3 linked regions of the Pelodiscus sinensis genome follow. The protein of the gene in region 1 interacts with the protein of each later gene in a pairwise test. Links are inferred from orthologs where the notes say so. Each region holds a gene or a part of one and is shown in the gene's direction. Other genes may lie near its edges.

Evidence for each region.
Region 2: the proteins of EDC3 (region 1) and DCP1A interact in binary tests that used the Homo sapiens proteins (3 or more experiments, as listed by UniProt). The two-hybrid records come from large-scale screens. The link is inferred for Pelodiscus sinensis from reciprocal best matches to the Homo sapiens genes EDC3 and DCP1A.
Region 3: the proteins of EDC3 (region 1) and ANXA10 interact in binary tests that used the Homo sapiens proteins (3 or more experiments, as listed by UniProt). The link is inferred for Pelodiscus sinensis from reciprocal best matches to the Homo sapiens genes EDC3 and ANXA10.

The regions. Positions count from the first base shown.
Region 1 is NC_134724.1:35,330,270-35,337,841, forward strand, and holds the start of EDC3 (enhancer of mRNA-decapping protein 3), read left to right. Parts: upstream 1-4,572; 5' UTR 4,573-4,684; exon of another isoform or gene 4,685-4,747; intron 4,748-7,572. Other genes in the region: cytochrome P450 1A5-like, read left to right, coding at 507-813. UniProt on the Homo sapiens protein: Binds single-stranded RNA. Involved in the process of mRNA degradation and in the positive regulation of mRNA decapping. May play a role in spermiogenesis and oogenesis.
Region 2 is NC_134721.1:30,781,856-30,789,498, forward strand, and holds the start of DCP1A (mRNA-decapping enzyme 1A), read left to right. Parts: upstream 1-4,642; 5' UTR 4,643-4,678; coding exon 4,679-4,813; intron 4,814-6,356; coding exon 6,357-6,397; intron 6,398-7,643. UniProt on the Homo sapiens protein: Necessary for the degradation of mRNAs, both in normal mRNA turnover and in nonsense-mediated mRNA decay. Removes the 7-methyl guanine cap structure from mRNA molecules, yielding a 5'-phosphorylated mRNA fragment and 7m-GDP.
Region 3 is NC_134715.1:65,037,436-65,045,353, forward strand, and holds the start of ANXA10 (annexin A10), read left to right. Parts: upstream 1-4,875; 5' UTR 4,876-4,922; coding exon 4,923-4,940; intron 4,941-7,918.

The DNA.
Region 1 (7,572 bases):
ATCAGTGCTTCTTGCAGAAATACTATGCTGCTCCTGTTCAGGCAAAAGTCCTGTTGCGCAAAAGTTTTGCGCAAAAGGGCCAGTGTAGACAGCTCAGATTTGTTTTCCGCAAAAGCCCCAATGGCGAAAATGGCAATTGGGGCTTTTTTGCGGAAAAGCGCGTCTAGATTGGCACGGACGCTTTTCTGCAAAAGCACTTTTTGCAGAAAAAGCGTCCTTCCAATCTAGATGCTCTGTTCCGAAAATGCTTTTAACGGGAAATTCTTCCATTAAGCATTTCTGGAAAATCATGCCAGTCTAGACACAGCCTGTGTTGCAGAAGGCCAAGAAGATAAAATGGCTTGGTTGCAGTTGCAGTGTTCAAAATAAGGGCGCACTTGACTGATAACAGTGAGGTTGAAAACCATTGTCACATATCAGGCATCTACTCTGATGAGGACTGTGCTGAAATGCCTGCTAGTCCTTCAGAGGTGGTACAATTGCTGTCTTCTCCTTCTGTTTTTTAGGAAGCTTTGGAAAGATCCTTCCACCTTCAGCCCCGAGCGTTTCCTCACCATTGACGGGATGGAGGTCAACCGGGCCGAGAGCGAGAAAGTGATGACATTCGGCCTGGGGAAGAGGAGGTGCATTGGGGAGAACATTGGCAAGTGGGAGATCTTCCTCTTCCTGACCACCCTGCTTCAGCAACTGGAGTTCAGCATACGTGATGGGGAGAAGGCGGACATAACGCCTCAGTACGGACTGACCATGAAGCACAAGAGGTGTGAGCACTTCCAGATTCAGCAGCGCTTTGAGGTGAAGAGCTCTGAGTGAGCTCCCTGGCCTTCCAGCTAGGACAAGGGGATGGGGAGATGCCACATCACAGTATTTTGGCTTGTGGAAATCACCCCCCCAATGCTATGTTAGGGCTGACATGCCCTAGAGCGTCAGATATCACAGGCTGTGTTGACTCTGCATCTGAACTGACACAGTGGCGGTTGGGTCCTATCTGACTTGCACTTGCTACTGCCGTCTGCTGGCCTTCCAAGAGTGTATTGCAAACTGACCAAGCCTGCCCCGTGTACTCTGAGGAGCATGCCGTGTGGGGCTACCCGATATGTCACCTAGTTAGTGCCATCATGCTTACCTGCAGAAACAACAGACTTCGCAGATATATTTTGATCAGGTAGCTACTGATCTTGTGAGGTTTGATGCTGAGTTCTCTGCAAAACTGCTCTGGATGTCCCTGAGGTGCAGGCCTTTTATGATGGACACCTGGGCTACGTCTAGACTGGCATGATTTTCCGGAAATGCTTTTAACGGAAAATTTTTCCGTTAAAAGCATTTTCGGAAAAGAGCATCTAGATTGGCACGGACGCTTTTCCGCAAAAGCACTTTTTGCGGAAAAGCGTCCGTGGCCAATCTAGACATGCTTTTGTGCAAAAAAACCCCGATCGCCATTTTCATGATCGGGGCTTTTTTTGCGCAAAACAAATCTCAGCAGTCTACACTGGCCCTTTTGCGCAAAAGGGACTTTTGCCCGAACGGGAGCAGCATAGTATTTCCGCAAAATGCACTGATTTCTTACAGTAGGAACTCAGTGCTTTTGCGGAAATTCAAGCGGCCAGTGTAGACAGCTGGCAAGTTTTTCCGGAAAAGCAGCTGATCTTCCGGAAAAAGTGGCCAGTGTAGACACAGCCCTGGGTTTTATTGTGTGCCTTAGTTTAGAATAAGCAATTTTGGCCCAAGTTTGTCGCTGAAATTAACTAGCTAGCTGTGGCGGCAAAATCGATATGAAATATAGAATTTGATGTACAACCTGTAATTGGAGCACACGTTACAACCATTCTGTATCCTCTCATAGACTAAAAGTTTTGAGGAGAAACATAACCCCAGTCTCTCAAATGGCTGGGGTTGAACAACTTTTAGTCTAGGAATAGTGAAACTTGCATTCTTTGCAGAAAGCTAGCTCATACCCATGCACTGCTTAAATCCTATTTTGAAGACTCGTGTGAACTTCAGTGTTGTAGGGGGGGAATTTCACCCGGTTTGTGGCTGGCCATCTAAATCTGCCCCTGGTCTACACGAGGGCTTTATTTTGAAATAACTCCACTAGGGTCAAACTAATAAGTGGAGCATCCACACTACCGAGCCTGTTATTTCGAAATCACAGGCCACTTATTTTGAAATCTGGACTCCTGCTTTCCTTGAGGAGTAATGTGAATTTCAAAATCGTTATTTTTGAAATAGCGGTAGTGTGGATGCTCCGGTGCCACTATTTGAAATAACGACCCCCCCCAGAGGCATTCAGACTAATTACTCCCCAGTGCTTCCTGGGGCTCTAAGTCAAGGTAGCACGTCCACATTAAGGGAGCCTGCCTCGGACTAACTTCGAGGCTTTCCTGTAGTGAGGACATGCTATTTTGATTTTGTTATTTTGGGAGTTAAATTGAATGTAGTTATTTCAAAATCATTTCCTAGTGTAGACATGGCCTCATGGTAGCCCTCTCCCTGAAATATGTTAGACTAATAGAACATGCTCCACTTGTATGAAACATGAAAGTGCTGGGATTTGAGCATTTCCTTTAATACTTGGAATTTTTTAGGGCTACTTCAATAACCCCTGGTAAACAACCTGATACTGTTATACATGAATTAGAGGTCCTACTAGACCAGGTCCAGTAGTTTGACAAACTTCTTCAAAGTTGCAAGTTAAAATGGGTGAAAACAGAAGGCAGACAGTGAGGGGAAACCCAAAAGACCTTATTTACCTGCAAACTGTATTGCAGCTCTTTAAAACTAGTTGTTCGAGAGCATTTGTAACCAATGTAGATGTTCAGTCTGTAAAAGGTGAAGGGTAGGAGGGACAGTAAGGGGCACCTTTATACTGACAATCTCTGCAGCATTTCATATGTGCACCCAGAATGCTGTTATCACCACTACAAATACAAAGTGTATCAATGCTCACTGCATGCTTATATTGTACCTGGCTGAAATGTGATCTGTACAGAACAGTTTCATTTAACTGATAAAACATAGTTAAGAATCTCATGTAGACAATGTCTGAAATAAACATTAGCATGGGATGCTCTTGATTGTAGCCTGGGTCTGATTTTAAACACTCAGATTCTCTATTCTGAAATCCACCAACTGTTACCTCACTGTAGGAACTATCTTACCAGTCAAATCAATGGGAATTTTGCAGTCCTCACTAAGGGTGCAGCTACACAGCACCCGAAATGCAAAATAAGATATGCAATTTGTGCTACGCAAATAGCGTTTATTACACTATTTTGAAATTCAATTGAATTTTGAAATTTGGTGTCTCCACAATGTCAGATGTCAAAATAGTGCATTATTTCGAGACATCCCTTAACCCTTGTGGACCAAGGGTTACAGGGATGCCAAAATAGGTCTCGAAATAGCAGACATGCTCAAAATAGTGGGCGCATTAAAAAGACACTGGGTAGCTATTTTGGGATACTTCTGGTATCCCACAATAGCCCCACTGTTACCATTTGACAAGATCAAGTCTTTTCTCTCCATACAGAGAATGCAGCTATATTTATTCAATACATAGTGAAGTCAATAGGGAATTTTTTTGACGCTATGTACCATAACCTACCAAGCCAGTTCAGTCCTTGTTTTCACTGAAGCGGGACTCACCCTACTGAGATGAAATGTTCATATTATATTGTCTCTATATAAATATCTGTTCCTTTCCTAATGATTCCCAATCTTCTGTTATTTAGTTTTTAAGACTACCACTGCACAGATGTTTTCAGGCAATTACCTATCATTTTTGTAGGTACAGTTGGGATTATATTTTTCTAGGAGCATTTCTTGCATTTAGCAACACTAAATTCCATCTGCCTGGGTTGTTGCCCAGTCACCCAGTTTTGTGAGCTCCCTTTGTAACTCTTTGCAATCAGCTTTGGGCATAACTGTTTTGAATAATTTTGTAGTGTGTGAAAAATTTGCCATCTGTTTGCCCCTTTCAAGAACACGTTTAACAGTAATGGTCCAAAGGCAAATCCTAGCAGCAGACCGACCACTCATCCCTACGCATCCCTCCCCGCGTCTTGTAAGTGGAGTACCCGCTCCGGCAACGTTTTCACCGTGAGGGAAAGACCCCGCAGTGGCTGGATCGCCCGGCCACCTGCCCCCCGTTTCTAACCAACTCCCTGCCCCCCAGGCAGAGCAGCTCAACCTGTGCCCTGGAGTCAGTGCAGGGGCTTGCAGCAGCCCTCGAGCACCGCACGAGATCCAGGGGTTCCCACTCGGGGGGGACTGCCCCAGCCCCCCATGAGTGGGGGGGCTCAGCCTGGCGCCGCCCACCCCAGGGCAGGGAAGGGCCCAACGGCCCCCTCGGGCTGGGGGCAATGGGCAGAGGGGGCGCGGCCCCGCCCAGCCCCATGGCGCGCCGTGCCCGGGCCCCAGGCTGCCCGATGGGCACCGATTGCGGGAGCAGGGCCCCGACTACACGGCACCTTGCCCACACACAGGGCGCTTTGCGCAGGCGCACAGCGGACTTCTTTTTCGCGGCGCAGGGCTGCGGGAGGTCGGCTTGTCTATGGTCCCGGGGCTGGGTAGAGCGCCAGCCTGGCCCTCACCAAACCGCCGGACTCTATGACCGGGAAGCGGGCCCTGAGCCGCGGCGGAAGTGACGGCAGACGCACGGCGCTGCGGAGGGGGCGCTTCCGGTGTGCGTTGGGGACGGTGTGGAGAGTAGCTCCACGAGAGGCGGAGAGCGAGCGGCGGGACGCAGGTGGGGGGCGGCGCGGGGAGGGACAGGGCCTCGGCCCGCGCCGCCGTCTGGCGAGGAGAGGGGGAGGAGCTGGGGCGGCCCGTGAGGGGGGAGGGGCCCCCACGCCGGGCCAGTTCCCCTCCCCCACTCCGCCCCCTTCAATTCCTGCTCCCAGCGGGGCCGCCTGGCTGCACTGCGGGGGGAGCCGAGTCCTGGCGGCTGGGCCCCAGGCGCCTTTATTCCCCCGTGGCCCCTGGAGTCCTCCCAGCGTGAGCGCGCCCTGCACGGGGGCGTTTTGTTTTCATTTGCAAGAGAGCGCGAGCCTGGGATCCTGCTCCGCCGCCTCCCGTCACACGTGGAACGAGGCAGCCTACAAGCAGGCCTTGCGCTTTAATCGTTGTCAGCAAACTGGAGCAGGGACTCCCTTTTGCTGTGCACTTTTATAGTGGTGTGTGCAATGAATTCTGCTCCGGATTGGGCTTTCTGGGCATTACCACGATATGATTCATAAATAAGGCCCTACCAAATTCCCGGTCCATTTTGGCTAATTTCACGGTCATAGGATTTTAAAAATGGTAAATTTCATGATTTGGGATATTTAAATCTGGTGCTGCAATTGTAGGGGTCCTGACCCCCCAAAAAGAGTTGTGTGCGCTTTGCAAGATTGTATGGGGGTTGCAATATTCCTACCCTTGCTTCTGGACAGCTGCTGGCAGTAGCATTGCCTTCAGAGCTGGGCAGATGGAAAGCAGTGACTGCTGGCCAGGAATCCAGTTCTGAAGACAGAGCTTCTGCAACAGCTGTGCAGAAGTAAAATGGCATAGTATATATCACTACCCTTACTTCTGCACTGCTGCCTGCAGAGCTGGGCCTTTAGTTAGCAGCTGCTATTCTCTGGCCACCCAGCTCTGAACGCAGCAGCACACAAATAAGGAAGGGCAACATGTGTGGTGTTACCATCCTTCTGCACTGCTGCTGGAGGAGTGCTGCCTTCAGATCTGGGCACACAACCAACATAACTACTACTATAATGGCATTGCTCTGAAGGCTGCCCAGAAGGAAGGGTGGCAATACTGTGATCCTCCTAAAATAACTTGGAACCCTCTGCAACTGCCTTTTGGGTAAGGCCCCTCCCCCAATTTGAGAAACACTAGTCTCCCCTGTGAAATCTGTATCGTATAGAGTGGGTGGCCAACCAGTTAGACGAAGAGCCAAAATAGCTGTGGATAGAGTGCAAAAAGCCACGTGTTATATATTTATTTTTATGTATCTATAGATAGATAATAGTACACAAAATGTAGTGATAAAAATAACATTACAGGACATTTTGGACAAAAAAAACGTAAAACACTTTTTTTTGTTACTTAAAGAATTCATGGCCAGTCCATAAATCTTCAGAGAACTTGACAAGGAACAAATATCAAATAAAAAAAATCTTTAAAAATACAGTAATCGCACACTTAAAAAAAAATCCCCACCATGTATATTAAATTTAACACTACTGCCCTTTTATGACCTGTGTGGTTTTTAAAATTAAACTGAACTGAGAAGTAAATTAGCACAATTTGATGTGGCTGTTTCACTCCAGCTTGTGATGTCTGGTAAGGTTTCCTCATTTTTGTTACTTATGAACAGGGCTCGTCGAACCGCGGCAAGCCCCACTCGCCAGCTGCGCTGTTCAGCGATCTGCGCATGCGCAGATCGCCCGAACCCGGCTCTTCCGGGTTGCAATATACTTGCCACAGGCGAGTAGATTGCATTATTTGTCAAGCCCTGCTTATGAAGATTATGGCTTTTTTTTATAGTGCTAAAAATTCAGGACTGTCCCAGATTGCAAATATGAGAGGTTCAAAAACAATAAGGGAGAGACTCATATCTCAGAATAATTGCTTCAGCCTGGCAAATAGTAGCCTTTCAATTTTCTTTAAAGAAACAGTGTAAACCAGGTAGATACTGATTCTTTTTTTGCCCTGGAATTTAAATATGACATCTGTGTTGGCTGCCTTATTCTGCATACATGAAGACTTTGAGTTTAAAGTGCTTCAGGTCCCCCAAACACCTCTCCCTCACTTAATGCCTGGATCCCGGAGCCGTCGCTGCCGCCGCCACGCGCTTCTACCTCCAGGCGCTGGGGAATGTGCGCAGAGCGGCCGGCTGTGAGCAGGCACTGGGGCGCAGCTCAGAAGGAGCAGGAGCTGCATTTCCTTAATCAAAGAGCCGCGAGTTGGCCAGCCCTGATATAGAGCAGAAGCGCACAAAAGGCCAGATTTCATGATTTGTGATACATTTTATATGGCTCTGTATTTGGTAGGGCCCTATTAATAAATAGAACCTTGCTGTTTGTCTCCTAGGCTCTTCTCTTTAATGTTAGAAGGAACCTGTGTGCTACTGTCTTGTGGTCAACAAGGGAGTATGTACATTGGCACAAGCTGCTTTTTTTACATCTTTGGGGGAAAGGCAGCATGTTTCGGTGTGAGCTTTGGATGAGCCAAAGAGCCTAACAAGATTTTAAATATCCAATCCCTTTTACAGAGATATCAGAAATATCCAACTTATGTAATTAATTACCAGGAATTTTGGAAGGCATATTAAACCTCTTTCCTCAGGGTTTACACTATAGTCTGACTATTGGGTCTCCCGGATTTTTATGTGGGGGAGGGGCAGGTTACAGGCAGTCCCCGGGTTACGTACAAGATAGGGACTGTAGGTTTGTTCTTAAGTTGAATCTGTATGTAAGTCGGAACTGGCATCCAGATTCAGCTGCTGAATCTGGACACCAGTTCTGACTTACATACAGATTCAACTTAAGAACCCCAGGCGTCCCCAAGTCAGCTGCTGCTGAAACT
Region 2 (7,643 bases), on another chromosome or scaffold:
GATCATTATGAACATCACCCCACTTCTGTCCATATCAGTACATGAACAGAATGTATAGAATGATAGGTAAACATATTTCCCCCACTAACTGCTGCATAACTCAAAAGAGGATAAAGATATTCACAATATACAATAGCCACTGAACAATCTTACCGAGATGCAACATTTACACAGAGGTCTAAGTTTGAGGCTAAGCACATACTGTTTACTTCTGTGTGCTTCAGGGCAGAGGAAGATGAGAGCCTTCACTCATTATTCATACATTTCTGATATAAAATATCACACAATGAGGCACGAGCAGTGAACAAGGGCAAGGAGAACAAACCCACTTGAGTGTTGAACTGGGGTAAAAGATGATGGAGGACAACAATCCACGAACCAAAACTCCCACTTGATTCTATTATCAGTGCTCTTCATGTTTCACTTTTAATTCAAGATGCAGTAAAGAAGATCTGGCATTGCAGAAGGCTGCACTTTGTCAAGATCTTCTCATTGCATTACAGGCAGTCCCCGGGTTACGTACAAGATAGGGACTGTAGGTTTGTTCTTAAGTTGAATCTGTATGTAAGTCGGAACTGGCATCCAGATTCAGTCGCTGCTGAAACTGACCAGCGGCTGACTACAGGAAGCCCGAGGCAGAGTTGCTCTGCCCTGGGCTTCCTGGAATCAGCCGCTGATCAGTTTCAATAGCGGCTGAATCTGGATGCCTGGGACAGAGCAGCTGGGGCACTGCCGGGTAGGTCCCCGCAGTGCCGCACCTCAGCGCTGCGGGGACCAACCTGGCAGCACCCCAGCTGCTCTACCCCAGGTGTCCCCAAGTCAGCCGCTGTTGAAACTGATCAGCAGCTGATTCCAGGAAGCCCAGGGCAGAGCAACTCTGCCTCGGGCTTCCTGTAGTCAGCCGCTGGTCAGTTTCAGCAGCGGCTGACTTGGGGACGCCTGGGGCAGAGCAGCTGGGGTGCTGCCGGGTTGGTCCAGTAGCGCCCCTCCTCGGCGCTACTGGACCAACCCAGCAGCACCCCAGCTGCTCTGCCCCAGGCGTCCTGATTCAGCTGCTGCTGAAACTGACCAGCAGCGGCTGAATCAGGACGCCTGGGGCAGAGCAGCTGGGGTGCTGGCGGGTTGGTCCAGTAGCGCCGAGGAGCGGCGCTGCGGGACCAACCGGGCAGCACCCCAGCTGCTCTACCCCAGGCATCGCGAGAAAAGCCTGGTCTGCTGGGGGGGGGGTGCGCACTAGCTGCGTCCCCCTCCCCCCAGCAGACCAGGGAGACGCGGGCGGCGGGACCACCGAGACGCGCCGCGGTCCCACCCACATCCTCCACGGCTTTGCTCCGCGTCTCTCTGGTCTGCTGGGGGGGCCCCCCCCCAGCAGACCAGGGAGATGCGGAGCAAAGCCGCGGAGGACCCGGGCAGCGGGACCGCGGCGCGTCTGGGCGGTCCCGCCGCACACGTCCTCCGAGGCTTTGCTCCGCATCTCCCTGGTCTGCTGGGGGCACTTCCCCAGCAGACCAGGGAGACGCGGAGCAGCTTTTCTCGCCCTGGAGGACGCGGGCGGCGGGACCGCAGCGCATCTGGGCGGTCCCGCCGCCCGCGTCCTCCGAGGCGAGAAAAGCCCCGTTTGTAACTACGGATCCGACATAAGTCGGATCCACGTAAGTCGGGGACTGCCTGTAGTTTGAAAGCAAGGTTTGCTTTAGACCACGCTTGTCCAAGCTTGACATGAAGACAAGGGTCATCCTATTTGTTGCAGTGCTTAGAATCATCACTGAGATCCATACTTCAAAAGGATTTTGAATCTGTGTACACATTTTCTAGGCACCCTTTTTGTTTAAAATAATTTTCAAATAATTTGTGTCTTCTCTTTTTAGTACCTGTTTTCCCCTATTAATATTGGACAGAATAGTACTCAGTCACTTTAACTCACAATATATAGCATTTTTGCTCATTATAGATGCCATTTCTTGCCTTTGGAAGCCCCCGTTAAAGTTAACACAGTTGGGGCACGTCTACACAACAGGGCTAATGCCGAAAGAAGCTACACAATTTGAGCTACATCAATTGCATATCTTAAGTCGAAATAGTGCTGCTATGTAGACATGGCTTGGTGTTAGAGTGTACCGGATAAACAGAGCCCTGAGTAAAGAACAATGTGGAATAATAGTGCCCCAGGCAGGGATTGCTTGAGGTGAGATTGTGTCCTGGGAAGGCACAATCCTACCTTCAGTTTCTGTATCCACAGGCGGTGTGTAGACCCTCCTTTAATATTTGACAGGTTCATCCATTAAGATGCATGAGCCTGTTCTTCTGGTGCAGCCAGCCCACTCAGCAGGCTCTTTGAAGCAATGTAAAACTTCTGGGGTACCTGGCAAATAAGTTTCTCATTCTATTAAGAGTATGCAAGGTTTGAGAAGGTTCATCCATTCTGTGTATCATCAGTACATGTGCACTTTACAGTCTGGCCCCCAATGGGAATCATGCAAGAATAGTGAAAAGCAGAATTTGGTACAAGTTTGTACACCTGCCTCACAAATTGTATCAACAGAACTCTGGCAATATTGTTTGCTAGCTGTGAGACAGATAGCCTAAGAACGTCGTACGGTTCACCTTGTGAACTTTTCAATACTGCATCTCTCAAGTTTTGGGGATCAAGAAAGAGGCAAGACTTTGCACATTCCTTGTAAAGAAACAGGATTTCATCAAAACAAATACCATTCTCCATTGTCAGTTTCTACACTCAGCTACAATAACTGGCAAGGCTCCAAACTTTGACTAGCCACATGGTCAAAACCACCATGATGGTTTTTCACCTAATAAAGCCCATTCCCTTAGAACAAATTAAATGCAATCTCCTCCTCCCAAAAAGTGAGGTTTTCAAATCATGTTATGAATATTTTGCACAGTTCCCTGCATATAAGGCTGAATACATTATAAAGTTTGCAAGACATTCAGATGCTAATGTAATGGGAGCCATGTAAATACCTAAGATAAGCACATTTGGAGTTCTGGCTACTGTCAGAGACATAATATTGGACTAGTTGAACCACTGGTCTAATTCAGTAAGGTTATCTCAATAAACAGTAATATCTATCAAGCCCAGCTCTAATCAAAGCAAATAAACTGAGGCTCCACTTCTACATGCGTTAGATGCATTACCCACATATGTCAATGATTAATGTTGTTATAGCCCTCTTGATGCCGGGTTGCTAATCTTCCCAACTGGACAGACCAAACACTATTCACAGCAATGGTTTCTGGTCTGTCCAGTCCCTGAGAGTTGGCAACCCTATCCCAGGATATTTGGAACAAAGTTGGTGAGATATCTTTTATTGGACCAACTTCAGTTGGTGAGAGTCACACTTTCCCGCTGCACAGAGCTCGTCATTGTATTTTTCCCAGACCTGATGAAGAGCTCTGTGTAGCTTAAAACCTTGTCCCTCTCACCATCAGAGGTTGATTGAATACAAGAAATTACATCACCTACATTGACTCTTTAATGACTAATGTAACTTTTATAAAGCATTTATAGTTTAACAACCTTTACCTTACCAGGTTGCAGAGAGTCTGATGAGTTTGTTTCTGTACACATGGATAATCCAGATGTCAAAAGACTGACCCAAACAGTGACATGTGAATCTCCCCACTAGACCAGTAGCTCAAGGGAAACAAGCTTAGGGACAGAATAGGAAGGCAAGGCACAAAGGCTCATGCTGTAAGTGCCTGTTGCCTTACTTTGTCCCCTCACATAATTGACAAGGCCTTAAGGCAGCCATCAACTCCTCCTTCACCCTAGCAGATTCATCTTGACTAGGCATCATTACCAAGTGCTAAAGCCATCCTGGTAAGCAAGAAGAATCCCTGTACAGTTCCTGCAGGCCTGTGCTGAGAGACTTTAGTTGGAGCTGGAGCTAGCACACAGGAAATCTGAAATACAACCTCATACAATCATTTTCTTTTGAATGCCACTGTGTTGTCAATAGTTCCTTGTTTGGAGCTGGTGAATCCCAGCCAAAGGGTCGAAGACATGGCTAGGAGTCTGTGCAAAGATGTGGGGTAGCCAGGTCCAAGAGAGGCCCCTCACGCCTTCAGGCTCACATATCTACTGGAATGGAGCGTACAGCCTCAGGGATTCATGCCAACGGTGGGACTCTGTTGGCCCAAGCATGGAGGAATCCTTGAGGCTGTGGTGGCAACGTCCTGCATTGCTCCTGGGAGAGGTCAGTATTGTACATGCTGCTGGTTCTGGCGTCTGGGGACGGTATCAGTCTCTCCCAGGTTGTCTCCAATGGATTAAACCCTGTTACCTAACATGGGACTTTGCAGCAAGTGCAGACAGGGCACTAAGGGCACAAATCCTCCGGCTGCCCAGCTGGGGGCGGCTCGTTGCTCGGGAGGCCTGAGCCTCACCTACTCCCCTTCAGGACTACGCCCAGGGCGATGCCTTTCCGAGGGGCCGGGGTCCCCCGGCACAGTCCCTTCTTGGGAGCTGCGGGCGGGAGGTAACCGACTCCCCGACCGCTACCCGGGCAGCCGCAGCCAGAACCCAGGGCGCAGCGGCAGCAGGGCGGAACGGACGGCGCGGAGGCCGCCGTGCCCGGGCGAGAACACGGAAGGCTGCACACGTGACGCCGTGGTCCTCGCTCCCTTCCCCCACCCCCTCCGGTTCCTCCCGGGATCCAAGATGGAGTCGCTGAGTAAAGCGGGGCAGGAGATGAGCCTGGCGGTCTTAAAGCGGAACGATCCCTACATCACCAGCATCGCCGACGTGACCGGCCAGGTCGCGCTCTACAGCTTCAGCCCCAAAGCCAACGAGTGGGTAAGTGGGGAGCCGGGGCCTGCTGCCTTCCCCCAGGAGCGCTGCAGACCCTTCCCCCGGGCCGAGAGGAGAGACACCGACACCCCCACACGCCCTCCCAGGGGAGGAGAGCTGGGCCCAGGCCCTCCCCCCATTTCCGGGGATAGACCCCGACACGCTCGCTCCCCATCCCCAGCGCGCAGAGGCAGCCACTGTCCCCTTAACGAGAGAAACCAAAACTCCCCGCAGCAGTGGGGAGTGGCAGCCCCAGAACCGCCCCCCCCCACCTATACACACACTGGGACGGGAGGCCCCCAGGGGTTAGGCCGTTCAGCTTGTGGGACTGTGCTTTGCGGGGTAAGGGCCGTGACTCTTGACAAGTTTGAAATTTTCACACTTTTCCCTCTCCCAAGCATCTCGGACTGTTCTTAGTTTGAGGAGACAATTTAAATCCGACGCCAGAAATTAATAGAGTTATTTGAGCAAAAGCTTTGTGGCAACGAAACACTTTGTCAGATATATATGACCAAGTGGGATTTTGCCCATGAAAGCGTATGCCCAAACAAGACCTCTCGTTTTGGTGGACAGAACTAACATAGCTACCCCACTGATTTTTATCATTGAAGCAGATAGAGTAGTTTTGCCTAACATGCTTTATACGCTCAATTGTGTTTGTTTGCAGGGTTTTTTCGGTTTGTATTTGTGTGTGTATCTATGTACCTTTCTAGTTGTCACTTTCCACCTGCTGATAATTTTGAAGTTCAAAAAGTATGGGATTTTAGAAATATTGGTACTGACTGCTCTTCTGAAATAAAATTTCCGATTAATTTCAAGAATATCTTTCTTTTTCTACAGTTTTGAAAATAAAGACCATCAATATACACTACATTTCTAAAAAAAAAAAAGTTAATATGAATGTAAAGAGGTTTTAAAACATCTTGTCAGACACAGAGGTTTGCAGTTACATGCGAGGTCTCTGAGATCTTATTCCTGCAAAAACTTAAGTAATGTGAATAGTCCAGTTGAACCCAAAGTTATTTTGCAGGTGGTAAATCATGTGGCTTTTTTCTTTTTAGCTAAGTTTTAATATATAAAACAAGATATCAGTGCATAGCATGAAATTAAAATATAGATAGCTGTGTGTTCAATTTATAGCTATTGTAGCTATTGTCCAAAAAAACTCATTGTAATTTGTCATTGCAAGATACTTTTAAAATTTTTTTTTGCAAAGTAAAATTTTATTACTATACATGAATATGAGGTTACTACAGAGAATATATTTGTTTGACTTTTCTAGTGAAGCTGGTTAGGAGAAGAAAGTGATGAGAAATGTATAATTTCTCTAAAAAAATGAATAATGTTATTATCAACAAGATAGCATGTATAATTTTATATATTTGCCTTAAGTTAGCAATTCATTGAAAATATGAGATTAAATCTGAGTTTTATGATGTCACGCATCTTTGAAAAGTACTAAAAAAGTTATTTTTTTGTTAGAATGCAAGCTGCCTAACTGTATGAATAACCATATCACTAAAATAGATGTAATTGCTGTCTCTTGTAGGAGAAGACTGACATAGAAGGTACCTTATTTGTGTATAGAAGGTAAGTCATACAAAAATGCTTTAATATGTAACTATTAAATTTAGACTTTATCAAAGTTGGCTTTTTAACTAATTCTGATATTTGACCAGAAATTCACATCCAACTTCATGTTTTAAAATGAAATTTAGCACCTAGACATATAACTCTTCAGAAAGTGCACACACAACATTTTAGTAACAGTCTTGAAGAAAATAAATGAATAAAATGAAGAGAATCATAGAAATTAAAAAATTGTAATTAGGTTATTTTATTAATTTTGGTAACTGATTTCCTAATATATTCCTGAGTGCTTTTAATGATAGGAATTAGGGATGTAAGCAACTAGTCGACCAGTGACTCGACTAGTCGCTTTCCCTCCTCCGCCCTTCTGCCTCTATCAGAGAGAAGCAGCAAGAGGGCTGGGAGCAGGAGTTGGCATTGGGGGAGCTAACTTAAAAGCCGGTTCACCCCTAGCACCATCTCCTGGGGGAGGCAGAGGCATAGTGGGGGACCGGGCATGAGCTGGTAAGCAGCTAATTCCTGGCTTGTGTCCTGTACCCCCCCCCCCCCCCCCCCGCGCGCGCTTTAACTTTTTAAGTGTATTACGAGCCTGGCAGGTCTTCATAAATTTAAAAAGCAGAGCCACAGGGGGGTTAGCTCCCACTGTGGCTCTGCAGTTTTCCCCCATTATCAACTAATCGACTAGTCGATTAACTGATTAAATGCAATTTAACATCGCCAATAGGCAGGGCTCGACGAACCACGGCAAGATCTACTCGCCAGCCCCACACCCTGCAAGCGCCAGACCAGCACTGCACATGCGCACAGCACCGGTGAACAGGGCGACCGGCTGAAATCTATTCGCCACAGGCGAGTAGATATAGCGATTTGTCGAGCCCTGCCAATAGGGATGTAATGCTATAGTAAATTAACCAATAAGTAAAAGCTTGTAGGTTAATGCTGTAGACCAGTATTTCTCAACCAGTGGTCTGAGTACCCTTAGGGGTACTCAAGAGAAGTTGGGGGGGTATATCAACACAACTGAAATTTGGAGAAAACTGAATTTTTGTTTCAAGTTTTACAGTGCTTTATTATTTTTGTACTTTTTTCATCCAAAAATTTCATTGCCCACCCAGCTACGATTAAGTTGTTTAAACAAATGTGTTGCAGTGGTAGAAAAAAAATGTGTGTGCTTGAAAACTGTAGGTACTGGGGGTACTTATAATTTTTTTTTAAAAGGGGTACTTTATTTTTAAAAAAGGTTGAG
Region 3 (7,918 bases), on another chromosome or scaffold:
TCTGTCAGCCTGTTGGCTGCCCTCTGCGACGGGACCCCGGTCCTAGCAGTAAAGTCACGGACGTTAAACCTTTTCTCAGCACACACACACACACACACACACACACACACACACACACACACACACACTGCCCTGACCGTCGGCTGACAGTTAGGTCCATCAATGGCTATTAGCCAGGATGAATAAGATTGGTGTCCTTAGCCTCTGTTTGTGAGAGGCTGGAAATGGATGGCAGGTGAAGGATCACTTGATGATTCCCTGTTCTGTTCAATGCCAGAGGCCCCAGAGGGAGTGGTCATGTCAGAAGACAGGATACTGGGCTAAATGAACCTTTGGTCGGACCCATTATAGCCATTCTTATTTTCTTAGCAGAGTTAAGCTCTTCTTTGACTATCTTTTATCTTCCCATGACTCATTCTCACACTGTCCTTCCTCCTCATAGTTGTAATATTACAGTTTTACCAGCTCAGGATGCATAATATTTGATTCCCCCACAAAATTACAAGGTATATTTAGCGATACAAAGAGAAAGTCCCATGCCTGTAACACATTACTCTGTCATATTTGCTGTAGACTGGACAAAAGCTAGCAGTACACGTGTGTTTCTTGGCCATTACATTTCTGTTCTCTGAAAAATCTCTACAGCAACACATGAAGCTTATAATGCCTTCAATTTGCACTTTGTTTTTCATAGATGTAAATAACTGATATTCATTTCTCTGTAATTAATATCAGGACGAACAACAACAACAATTAATATCAAATAATCCTATTTTAGAATGTAACTTATTTTTAGTTCTCATTTTAATTAAATTATTTTTATAAGTTTTAGAAATTCATTACACCGGGTTCGTTTTAGTCAGTCTTCCCATTAGCACCAAAAAGAAAAATGTCAATTTGAATTCCTAATCCTAAATATGTTAATTATCAACTTCATCAGACAGAGCAAAAGAGGAGTCTAAGTGGAAGATCCTCCTGAGGATAGGATGGGCAGGAGTGGTGTCCTTAGCCTCTGTTTATCAGAAGTTGGGAATGAGTGACCCTTGATGATTACCTGTTTTGCTCATTGCCTCTGGGGCACCTGGTGTTGGACACTGTCAGAAGACAAGTTACTGGGCTAGATGGACCTTTGGTACAACCCAGTATGGCCGTTCTTATATTCACCAAACAGGGCAGAGGAGGAGGGAATCCAGCCTCCTTCACTGTCACTGAAAGGCAAAATGGCAGTGTTAGTCTCTCTGATAGGAGGCAACATTGTTGGGGGAGGAACACACTCCTCAATCAGCTGCAACATGTATGGACCTTTAAAAGGAACAGGAAGGGGAAACCTCAGGGTGTGTCTAGACTACATGGCTCTGTCGACAGTTTATTTGGCAGTTTATTCAGCATAGTCAAAGTGGGAATTTAAATAATCCCCACTTCATTAAAATAAACATGGCCGCCAAGCTGTGCTGACAATCAGCTGATCCAGCACAGCAGTCTAGACACGGCGTAGTCGACAAAGGTATGCCCTTTTCACATGGGTCTGGACTTTACATTATGTGCCATGCATACCACAGGTCCTGGTTTTGTTTTCTTGTTTTAGACCTGTAGTCCCTTATCATGGCAGATTTTGACACTGAAGGATTAAAATATTGTAAACATAATCCATTTTGTATTGTACTGAATGTTAGTCATTAATCACACTGCATTTTATTTACTCTTCATGGCAAAATAAGAAATCAAAAAAAAGTCAGAGCCTGTAAAGAGAAACTAATATTTGTTCCAAAATGAGGACAGCCAGGAAACCTATGTTGGGTTCTGCCACTGTCTTGTTGTGTGAATCTGGGCAAGTCACTGAACTTATCAGTGGTTCAATTTCCTTGTTTATGAAATGGGGAATAAAATGTCTATAAAATGGGGAATAGAATGTCTAAGTCATTTATTATAAAGCACTTGAAGTAAAGGAATGTAAAGTGGTATAAGACAGTAGTTTTATTTATTATGATAAGTGAAAAGGACAACTTTAATTAATAGGCATCAGGCTTAAAAAACAAACAAAAAAGTACTTCTTCACACATGCATAGTCAGTCTTTGAAACTCATTTTCAGGGGATGTTGTAAAGGCCATAACTAGATAAGTTCATGGAATACAGATTCATCAGTGGCTATTGGTCAAGATGGCCAGGGATGCAAACCCATGCCCTGGGGTCCCTAGCCTCTCACTGACAGAAGTTGGGAAAAGACAATGAGGAATGGATCACTCTGTGATTGCCAGTTATGTTCATTCTCTCTGAAGCCCTTAGAGCTGGCCACTGTTGAAAGACAGAATACAGGGCTAGTTCTTATGACGCTATCCTACAGTGCTAAAAAGCCTTACCTATTTCATAGGCATACAGAAATATACAGATATTTTGGAGGGTTTTTGTTAGGATTGACATTCACAGCCACTCATATCCTACAAACCATCCCAAACCAGAGAAGTTCCCTAGTGGAAAATCCTTGAAAAATGAAAAGCATAGATCCCAAGTTTGTTTATAGACAATAGTAATGATACTACATCAGTAGAGCTCAAAACTCTTTTTTTTTTTTTTTAAAAGGGGGTCAAGTATCATTATCCTCATTTTACGTACAGGCACATTAAGGCATAGGAATGTCCAAGGTCACTCAGATCAGCAGTAGAGCCAGGATGACCACTGGGTGGTCTGAGTTCCAATCTATTGATCTATCCACCAGGCCATAATACACCTCCTAAATAAATTAATGAACCAGCTCTTTCAAAAGTGCATTATAAATAATACAAGTGGTTTTTTTTTAAAAAAAAAAAAACACACAATTAAGACTCTTAGTTCATTTCAGCTTGAAGTAATATACATCTCTTAATAAAATTAAGTCTCTTGGCAGGTTTTTAGATAGAACAGTGGAAACCAATGTTCCCTCTATTTTATCCATCCATGCGGAGAATAAATTTTGCCATGTGCACCAAAGCACATGCAGATGTGCACCACAAGTAGAATCACATGCTGCCAACTATGCCAGCTGTTGGTGCTGTGTTAAACAGCCAGGCAGCATTTGAATCTCCCCCGAGTGACCACCCAAGTACTCAGCAAGGAGGAAACATTGGTAGGCTATGTCTAGACTGCAGTGCTTTTCCAGAACACCAGGGTATACCAGAAAAGCAATGCCATGTCCAAGGAATGGGTCTGTTTTAAAAAAAAATAAAAGCAGACACTCTTCCATCATCCCTGTAAACCTCGTTCTACAAGGAAAAAGGGATGTGTCTAAAGAGCAGGTTTTTCCAAAATTTGACACCATGCAGATGTGCCAAAATTCAGAAAAGCCACTTTGACAGAAAAGCAGAAAAAGATATGCAACTTGCAGTTCGCAATTTGCGTATCTTTTTCCACCTTATCTTTGTAATCTAGACATAGCCGTAGTAACCCATAATAGCATCTTTTCTAATAAAACCCTAGGATGCACACTTAGTTCTCTCATCTGTATTTTAAACTTTTAAGTAGGAATGAAGGAAGATATTTCAGGAAATGTCACATTTCCTGACACCGTAAATAAATTATAATAATTTTATTAGCAAAGGGAATAAAGGTGGAGGTTGCTTTAAGTACGTGCTCAATAAGATCATGATCCAACTAGCACAGTATCTTGTCTTCCAACAGTAGCCAATGCTAGGTGCTTCAGAGGGATGAACAGAGCAGGTCAATTATTAAGTGATCCATTTCTGTCATCTACTCGCATCTTCTGTCAGTTGGAGGCTTAAGGATACCCAGAGCTGGGGGTTGTATCTATGACCATCTTCGCTAATAGCCAAGGTCATTCATGACTTTATAGATCTTTATCATAACCCTGTTGATTAGTTGCCTCTTTTTCAAGCTGAAAAAAAGTCTATTTCAATATCTCCTCACTTAGAAGCCATTCCATACCCTTAATCACTTTTGTTCCTCTTTCCTATATCTTTCCCAATATATCTTTTATTTAGCAGCCAAATTACACAGTATTCAAGATGTGGGAATTACATGGATTTATTCCATGACATTAGGATATTTTTTGTTTTATCTACCCCTTCCCTAACAACTATTATATATTGTACAGATATTTTTAGAGAATTCACCACAGTGACTTCAAGATCTGTTTCTTGAGTGATAACAGCTCACTTAGGTCACATCATTTCTATGTATAATTGGTATTATGGTTTTCTAATGTGCATTACTTTGCATTTACCAACATTGAATTTAATCTGCTGTTTTGTTGCCTAGTCACTCAATTCTGTGAGATTCCTTTGTAACTCTTTCCAGTTTGCTTTGGATTTAAACTAACCGGAGTAATTTTGTATAATATTTGTCATCTCACTGTTTAGCCCTTTTTCTAGAATATTAATCATTTTTATGACAACTGCTATGCCAATTTAAACCAAATGAGGATCTGACCCGGTAACTACACAAACATTAGGTAGAGTCAGTACAGCATCCATGTCATGCCAGCTGGAAATAGTCAATAAAATATATACTGGACTAAATGACTCAGCCATAGGAAAAAATGAGCTAGAGACATTTTAAGGCTGGAAGTCAATCATTAACGTAAGTATTTTCTGTAGCTTAATACTTCATTCCTTGATTGGCTAAATTCTGTTTCTTAAATCAACACATTAGCGCAATAAGATACTATTTGTTTTACGTAATAATCCTGCTTAGTCATATATGATTAATGGCTAAGTATACATAGTGAATCTGTAAAATCTGGGAATGTGCAGTACCAAGAGTTGCTCCTACTTCATTGTTACCTGGGAGTCAAATGTGATTGGTAGAAGAGTATCAGTTTGATTGGGTGGTTCCAGTCAGTCCTCTTCAAAGTAATAAGCATTACTTATAGCAATTTTAAGTATTGTGAATCCTACTTTGAGCTCTGCTGAACTTGAAGACTTACACCAAAATGTATTGTGGAGGTTATGTAAGTAGAATGATCAGTTCTGCCAAGTCTTTCAAACTTAACAGAATGTTAGTAGCGCAGATCTTCAGCTGGCGTGAATAAATGCATCTCTATTGTAGTCAATTTACTGCCATTTTATGCAGGTATAGATCTGGCCTGAGGTTTTTATGTGATATCTAAAATGTGGATATGTTGAATGAGAGAATGAAGAATGTTGTTTGTACAGTTCACATACATTAAAATGTTAGCTCTAAAACAAAAATGTGTCTTACCATTTACTTCTGAGATTTGAGTGTTCATGGATGATATTTAGATATAAAACAGAGATACATAATTTTGTACCATCACTAAACAATAAAGTTTTTCATTAATCCATTAAAAAAGGGCAAATTTAAGTATCCTCACAAAATAAGTACAACCTGAAAAACATTTTTAGTTTGGACTAATTTGTTAGCTTAAAATCTTAACACCCTTAAAAATGGAAGTTTTATTTACAGAATCAAAGAGAGCAGACTGTTGTACTGGTTTAGTAAAAGTTTGTAGTTCTGAAGTATGCCTCTCTCCTCTGAAGGAGTCAAAACGAATGCATAGAAATTTGGCATGACTTGGCCTAAAAATTATTTAAGACAGTCTTAAAATCTCATATTCTGCCTGCTTTTTATCACTATTTAATTCCTACATTGTCACACAGCTTATTAAAAATAAACAAAACTTTTCAATCATCTGATGGTATTGATAAATATTGCCTTTTTATTATGTTTCATACATAATACACTTCAGAACTTTTTTTAGAAGAACGACGTGTGTTTGTGTTACAAGTTACAATAAACATGTTTTATGGGTAAGTATTTATTTTTGTTGGGGATATTTTAAGTTATATTCAATTTGTTTATATTTTGAAAAAGGAAAAATATTCAGAAATTAAAACTGACTCTCAATTATGTGACCAATCATGGGAAATGGTGTTGATTAAATGTGCCAGATTAATAAAGTTGTACCATGGTACATGCGCTTAGTACTTTTTGAGAGCAAATTATAAAACTGCTTTATATATATGGAATGTGTGTAACTGTACTGGTTAAGGAATTTCATACCCTTTTAATGATTAATCCTAGGATAATAGTGTATTTTTCCAAAACACTCTGTATATGTGCAGGCATCCCCAACTGATTTACTAATCAGATACATAATTTAAAAATTGCTAATGCTTTCAGTATTGAAGGTTAATTATTCCAGTCTCACTGAAAAAACATTTCTTTCTAGAAAACTATATTGCATTTGTTTCTCTAGACAAATAACTATTCAGTATATGTTTCCATAATGTGTTTGTCTTTGATCTGTGATTTGGGATCTTCATTACATTACTAGACCTAAGACTCCACTTAAGAGCTGAAAGTTGTTTTCTTTCTTTCTACTGTGTTATGAATGTATTTCATTTTACTAGAGTGAAAGAGGAAGAAATAGGCAGTCTGACACAACTAGAAGACTGATTTTTATCTGGAGAAGTCACCAAGTTTAGTTTTTGTATTCTTCTGATTAATCAAGTCCAATTGTATTTGAGTAATTAATATATACTGATAGTATTGTCTGGTATTAATGTTAATATATTACATTACCACAGAAGAGAATTATTTCACTTTTTCATCACTAAAGACTGCTAAATCTAATATTAATCAGATTTAATGATATTGCAGCTAAGTGATCTCTTTATAACTTGAACACACAGTACCGTCAGGGGGGCTGAGAGAATTGCCAAGCCATGGGTAAGATTGGGGGAGAATAAAGGGAAAGCAGAGGAGGTTCATCTGAGTCACAGTACCTCTCCAGGCTAGTCCTAGCATGGTACCATTTATACACATCTTTTACAGAGGGCTAAAGGCACAATCTAGACCTAACTATTTCCTAGAGGAATCCCAATACAATATTAATTTAGAAACACAAGAAAAAGCAAAGTCATTGTTCATATCATTTTTAGAATTATTAATTTTCTAAAAATCATTTTTGCATATGGCTCTCTGAATGGTTACCTTGATTGGAATACATTAAGGCTTAAGAATGCAAACCAGAAAGTGCTCCCAACAACAATCCTGCCAAACAAAGAAACTGCATTTGACTTCATTATTGTGGTTGTGTACCAGAAATGGTTCCCCATAGTACGCAAACTGAAAAACTACCAGAAATTAGATAAGAAGGCAGCCATTGCCCTTCATAAAATACATGTATCAGGAAAAGTAGAGGACTGAAGCAGTTATATTGAAAAGCTTGTGTGCCATTATTGATAATAAAATCACAAATTAAAACTACTCTTAGCAATTTTCATATAACAAAGCTGTACCACAGAAGATCTCTTTGAGAAAGCATAACTAGTTCATAAGAGATTAGAATAAGTAGCTAGCTTTTAAAGCATGCATTTTCTGACAGAAGTTATTCACAGCTGAAAACATTCAATCCAATGAAATCTGACTTAGATTGTTTGTTATCAGCAGTATGACTTACTAAGCAAATATTATTAGAAGGTTGTTCATACTTCAGATTACTTTTGATATAATAAGACTGCATTGTATGGACTTTACACACCATAATTCAGTAAAAGCTGTGAAAACATAGCTACGGCCTCAGCTTCAGGCTTATAAGGAACTGCTTAAAGCTTTGGTTGAGGAAAGAAAAAGTTGTAACTTTTGTTACAGTGAAATCAACACATAAGCAGACCTCAATGTCCTGACCAGTATGTCAAAGTGGAAAAAAAAACCCCAACAACAACCTTTAACACTAGCATACAATGTGCTCTTTATTAAGCCATTGCAGTTGTATTTATCTTCACTGAACCTTATCTACTAGAACCACATTTCCAAAACTGGGCATCTAAAGTTTGGCCATAAAAATGCACTTGTATGGAGCCATAGGTACAAAAGCTACAATTCAGTAGTTGCAGATACATATTCTGATTCACATATGCAAATATGAAGGTTAGGTGTGCATTGGTATTTCTGAGGACTGAG